Saccharomyces cerevisiae S288C: one gene and its partner. Changing the gene in region 1 together with any one later gene gives a genetic interaction. Each region holds a gene or a part of one and is shown in the gene's direction. Other genes may lie near its edges.

Region 1 (3,849 bases):
TATTCCAAGGAGTTTCAGCCTCGATTTTTTTTTAGTTTAATGGCGTATAGTCCAGTTTCAAGAAATACTCCACCTACTAAGTGAGTACTTAAGAAGTGGTTCCTCGAAGCTTTCCATTGTGATTATATAACTACAAACATTTCGTAAACATAGCTGAATAAGGAACCCATCCTCAACTTCATAACTCTAAAAAAAAATTCTATATATAGGAACGAGACATATGGAGGACGATAATTTAAGAAACTCTAACGTAGTTTGCAGGGAATATTCCTTCTTTTCCGTTAGTCCTGCCTGTCCACCAATCATTTTGAGAATCTGATTTTTTTAAGATAGTAATAACATCACCTTTTTTGAAAGCCAAGTCGCCTGGTTGTTCTCCAGCAAAATTGTAGAGAGCAACAGCCGTTGGTGTCGCCGAATTTGTAGCAGTGGATTCATTACCTAACCCTGTCTTCGACATTTTATGTGATAAATCATCGACATTGCTCATATTGCTGGGGTGAGTTGGGCCATGACCAAGGCTATAACCCCTTTCTCTACCATAACCACGCCTATTTCCTCGGGTATTATCATAATCCCTACCGGAATGGTTGGGACGGGAGTATTCAGTATCTCTATCATACAAATCATCTTCCCATCGGGTATTCGCACGCGGCTTAGTACCCCTATCTATCTGTGGGCCTCTATTGCGGCTGCTGTTTCTATTTGGAGATCTTCCGTAATCATAATCTTCATCTTCGCTATCAAAATCTCCATACCCGCGACCACGTCCGTAACCATCATCATCATAATCATCATCATAACGACTGCGTGACCCCAGCGACATTCCTCTTCTTCTTGATGATCTTGTGTTTGGACGTGTTGAGGATTCATCAGTAGAATCAAAGGAATCTGGAATATCGTCGTAATAATGGCTTGTGTTGTCGCTGTATTGACCGTCATCATAAAAATCATCACCGCTAGCGTTGTCATCATGGTCGTGGCGTGTAAAGTTGAACGCTCTTGATTCCAAGATACGGAGTAGGGGGTCTGCTGCTGGTGGAACTTTTACTCTACCTGACAAAATCATCTTTGATGTACAGTTATCGCCGTAAAACTTTCGATTAGCTTCCCTTCTCTCCAAGATGGCTGAACCTTCCACAGACACACCGGCAAATAAACCTTTGCTTTTGGAATAGGCAAAAACTGCCGAGACACCACCTGTGGATGCAGAAGCTGCAGCTTCTGCACTTCTTCCAAGAGGACCTGCGGAAACTGACACATTACCACCTAAAGTAATTGTACCAAATTCAGAAAAGGACCTCACTGCCTCTTCCGAATTTAAAATAAAAACAAAATCTGTCAATTCAACGCCGACCATACCACCTGCACCAGCACCTGCCATAGCGATAGCAGAGGGAGCCGACCATGTACCGTCTTTTAACCTGGCCACAATCACCCCAGAACCTGCTCTCCCTGAAAACAAGAAGCCAGCCTTTAAAACCGTGATAATTGCTAGACCTTTAGCTCTTTTTAGCACATATGGTGGAATAACTTGGTCTGCTCCAAATACTTGATTTGGTTTAACAAAACTCCTTAGAACTTTCGCGGCCTTCCTGTAGTTAAAACATTCGAAATAAATCAATCATAAAGTTGTTAGTACATTACTTTTGAAAACTCATGCCCCATAAGCAATGGACACAGACTAGAGAGCTATCTTGAACATTTTAGCTGCATCCATAAGTTTAGAGGAGGGGCAGCAGGAAGCATATATATGAACATACTTGGTCTCGCTTTTCAAGCTTCGAGGAATTGGATTATTGATACCCATTTTTGGATTTTGGATTTGATATTACCACTACTCTTGAAAATTTTACTGTGAAGTGTAAGATAGTTTCATGTTATAGATAATGTTAAGAACAGGGTCTAGTTAGGGGGTAGTCAACTTTAATTCCCTTCAGGTCGTTTTCGGTCAGCGTCGGAACATGTAAAAATGTTGTAGGTGGCATACAAACAGGAAATATAAAACAGACAACAGAAGATATTTGCTCTCAAAAAAACAAATAAAAATGGCTTGGTCTGGTGGTAAGGATATAGTGGATCAGATATTTGATGCTGGGTATTGGCTCGTCTCGAAAAGCGCTGTCTTGAGCGATGAGATCAAGAACCACGTCGAAAAATCAATTGAATCCATATCTGGAAAGATATCCAACAAGGAGACTCCTCGACTACAGGAAAACGACAGTAACAGATCTAAAGTATATAAAACTTTGAGGATCGGGCTCCAGGATCATTGGAAGCTAGGCTTGGGAATTTCTGCCACCTCCCTGTGCTTATACCTTGGGTATAGGACCTTTTTTAAACTGCCACCTAATTTACCTGAAGCAGAATCTCAAGTGGTATTAATACTGGGCGATATGAATGATCCTATCATAAGGAATCAAGTGATGGATTTATATCGCAGACGGTTTACAGTATATATTTGTACTGAAAATGCAGACGTCTATAAGAAGCACGAAGAAGATCAGGATTTCATATATTACATTGATCCCACCTGCGAAAAAGACTTCGAGGGTTTTTTTGTTGATGTACCAAGGCTAGCATCCATATTGTTTATGCCAAGGTTATCATATCATCCATCCGGAGTAATTTCATGTGACTCATTGGAATCTGAAATTCATTCAAGTATATTTGTGTATTATCAAGCATTATTAAGCATTATACCCCATTTGAAGAGAAAAACCCAACTAATTATGTTCAATCCATCTTTGACTGCGGACCTGAACTTAGTCCATCATAGTACAGAAATTATAACGTCTGGAATAATCGACTCACTATTTAAAATTTTCAAGGAATATCAAAGGTTAAATGTTTCCACAATCAAGCTTGGAATCCTGCAGATTGGGTCACAACCATCGAACTATAAATTTTTGAGAATGGCCGGTTCAGACATTCACGAGGCCCTACATTATCCAGTTTACAAAATGATAATGAGTGCGAATGGGTATAAACTAAGACAACTGCTAAGTTGGTTAACGACTTTGGGAGGTTACAATAGTGTGTATTATTGCGGCCGTTTTAGTTATTTAGTCTCATGGCCATTTGCTTCACTTATATTCAACCATCACACACGTCTTTCCCTGAAACGCTTGAGAGGAAGATTAGCCAAGGTATATAGCAGCATTATTTCGTTTTTTTGCCGGTCATCTTCTAAATCATCCAAATAATATCCTTGATTAGATAACAATTGCTTATCTACGTATATATATACATAGCACAATCTCGAAAATATAATACTAATAACAAAATAAGTATTTAAAGAAGGGTTGATGAAGTCCTAGAAGTACCAGACCTGATGAAATTCTTGCGCATAACGTCGCCATCTGCTAATTTAATTGGGATTTCAAATTATCCAATTGCTTCAATACAGCAGATTTAGCGGTTCCACCAGTAGCATCTCGTCTTTCAACGCTTTGTTCAAAGTTAAAAGTTTCAAAAAGATCTTGTCCGAATCTCGAATCGATCTTTTGATACTGCTCCAAGGTTAATTTATCAATACCGCTTAGACCAAGTCTTTCAGCAGTAGCGACACACTCACCAGATATGTGATGAGTCTCTCTGAATGGAACACCCTTTCTGACCAAGTAATCTGCCAAGTCGGTAGCTAGCATATCCATCGTGAGAGCAGCTTCCATCTTTTCCTTATTTACAGTTAAGGTAGAAATAACACCTGTGGCAATCAGCATGGAGTGCTCTACAGTTGTTAAGCAATCGAATAGTGGCTCTTTGTCTTCTTGCATGTCTTTATCATAAGTAGATGGGATACCCTTCAAACTCATCAAGAATCCTGTCAGATCACCAAATACTCTA
Region 2 (2,960 bases), on another chromosome or scaffold:
TATACTTTTTAGGCGTAATATCAGATGGAATCAAAGAAATTATAGAAAACAGTAGATCAGAGATCCTGCCTTTGGAATTCTGTAATTCAACATATGGAAAAATTGATGCGAAATCACAAGAGTACAGGGATAATTTGGTAATGTATCTCACTAGTTACCATTGTTTTGCTACGCGTACTATCTCGTTTCAATCACCTCTTCTATAATATTACTAAAAAATGTTCATATGTTATATGGCGTACCGATAAAGTTATTGCATTTCTCATGCGATTTTAACTTCCTTTTCAAGTCAAGGATACTTTGTGCAAGCGTAAATCCTTGCTCAATCTCCTCTGCTCAAAATGAAAAAAAAAAAAACGCAGAATCATATGCAGGATGCAATATTGCTTAAATGATTCTATATTTTGCACTTATGTGTGAAGAGTGTAATTTTTGATCTTCCATTTTAATGTTATGCACATAGAGCTGAAATTAAATGCGTCATATATAATTATTATGAGTGAGTGGATTTTGAGATAATTATTGGGAATTCATTATTGCTTGAGATAATATTATTACTTATACAGAATACACTAGAAGTGCTCCTCGGGGACATAGAGATCCATAAAAGGGAATCGATAATTCTACACATTAATCTGTTTTATTTCTTTATCTGTTTTACACGTTTTCATTCATTATCTTATTACAAAATCAGCCCTTGCGCTTCATGTTCCATTATACTCGCAGACTGTTTCTCATCATTTATCTCATCTTTAACTCCATTCAGTATATTATCTTAATAACGCGACTACTAGTAGTGAATAATGGTCAATTTTTACTTCAGAAACTTCCCTTGATTTCATTCATAGATGTTATTTCATTGTCAATTTTTACTCTTACTCACCGATTTGAATGACAGTAAAGAACTTTGCTCAATTAATATTATATTTGTTGTTATCGTCTAACGCTGTAAGTATATGGTACTATCATAAGAACCTCAGTAGTGGAATATGGTTGTTTCTTGTGCTGACATGATTCCGGATGGCCTGTAGGAAAGTATCCAAGATTTTTATTATCAGATACCGGTATGCATTCCATAATGCCAGAGTTTGCGTTCTTACGTCAAAGAACAATGATGCTACGGAGCGCAAGAAAGTGACGTGGCCAACTATCAGCGCGCTAGGATATGTATGCACTGCCGAAAGGCTGAAGCGTATCGTACATTAATTCATAAAGAGAAAGAAATCTCAACCCTGAATTTAGGATAGCGAAGTGCAATAAGAAAAACTTTACCATTGTTTTCAGGATGAATTCTATATCAGCCTGTTTATATAAACAATTTGACAATAGTGCGTAAAGCTAAAAAAGGAAGCATGCCCTTTGTTCCTTATCGGGTGGAGAGGGCCGCACTTAATCTCGAGCGGATATCAGGTACCAAAAGCCTAATTGAAGCAGGCAAATTTTTTTTCCCTATTTTCTTTTATTTGAGTGTGTACATACTAATATAAATTTGATCAAATAATGAATGCGATTAAAAATCAATATTGGCAAATGGAAAAAAATCTAATAGCGGCTAATAGTGAGACTTACATCGCTATAGATTGGTAATTAAACGAATTAAATAATAACAATTGAAAAAAAAAAAACTATCATGAGAGAATATACCAGTAAAAAAGAACTAAAGGAAGAGATTGAAAAAAAATATGAAAAATATGATGCAGAATTTGAAACAATCTCTGAATCTCAAAAAGACGAAAAAGTTGAAACAGTGGATAGAACACCCTCTGAAAACCTCTCTTATCAATTGGGCTGGGTTAATTTATTATTAGAGTGGGAAGCAAAGGAAATTGCTGGGTATAATGTGGAAACTCCTGCGCCTGGTTATAAATGGAACAATTTAGGAGGATTATACCAGTCATTTTATAAAAAATACGGAATCTACTCCATTAAGGAGCAAAGAGCCAAGCTGAGAGAGGCCGTAAACGAGGTCTATAAATGGATATCTACTTTATCTGATGATGAGCTCTTTCAAGCGGGAAATAGAAAATGGGCTACAACTAAAGCTATGTGGCCTGTGTATAAATGGATCCATATCAACACGGTTGCTCCTTTCACAAACTTTAGAGGAAAAATTAGAAAATGGAAGAGACTAGTGCCTGAAGAACAACGCATAAAAAGGAGGAAGATATAATGAGAAAGTTGTATATGGCCGTCTATTTTTTTTCTTGCAGGATTTAGAAACTACCACAGGAAAACCTTTTTTAATATCATATTTTTTGATATTATTATATTTGAGAAATGAATCTCGATTATTATGAGTCAATTTAACAAAACCTCATATAATGTACAGCAGTATAAAGACAAAACTCTCTTACGCTTACCATAGCCTCAATAACATGTCACAATACGAACTTTTTATGTTCTTCCCATATATTTTATTGTACTCTACACACACAGTATTGATCATATAGTTAATTTACCTTACTATACGCTAACCTTTAAAGCAACAAAGATATAGACGATACCATACATGAATGTCGATCAGAGACGTATGGTATAGCTTGTGTCACATTCTGCTATCGTATATGGTATACATGGCACATACTTTAAATTTTAAAGTAATGTCACTTGATTAAGATCTTTCCTATACGTCAAGGTCTCGAGATAAAACTTTATGTCTCAAATAATACATGCTAGGCATATAATGACCCATTTTCTGGAGTTGATGTACTCAAGACATTGGTTAAATATCAATCACGCATGATGATAGTGCGCCCTATTATAACCCATTTTTGTCATCGTCATCACGCTTCATCACCTGAGAAAAGTAACATACAAACTCAACGCCTACTAAGATTAATACATCAAAAACGATATCGTTGCCATGTACGTGCCCTAACTGCAGAAGAGAACTTCAACACTTGGACTAAAATTCACATGAAATTCTCCTAACATTCTAACATCGGTGACATCATTCCAAA

Evidence for each region.
Region 2: mutations in YSC83 (region 1) and IRC4 together harm fitness more than expected from each alone (negative genetic interaction), as found in Saccharomyces cerevisiae (2 studies listed by BioGRID).

The regions. Positions count from the first base shown.
Region 1 is NC_001140.6:136,646-140,494, forward strand, and holds YSC83 (Ysc83p), read left to right. Parts: upstream 1-2,048; coding exon 2,049-3,206; downstream 3,207-3,849. Other genes in the region: YSC84 (Ysc84p), read right to left, coding at 236-1,595, 1,764-1,810; argininosuccinate lyase ARG4, read right to left, coding at 3,366-3,849.
Region 2 is NC_001136.10:1,516,346-1,519,305, reverse strand, and holds IRC4 (Irc4p), read left to right. Parts: upstream 1-1,630; coding exon 1,631-2,170; downstream 2,171-2,960.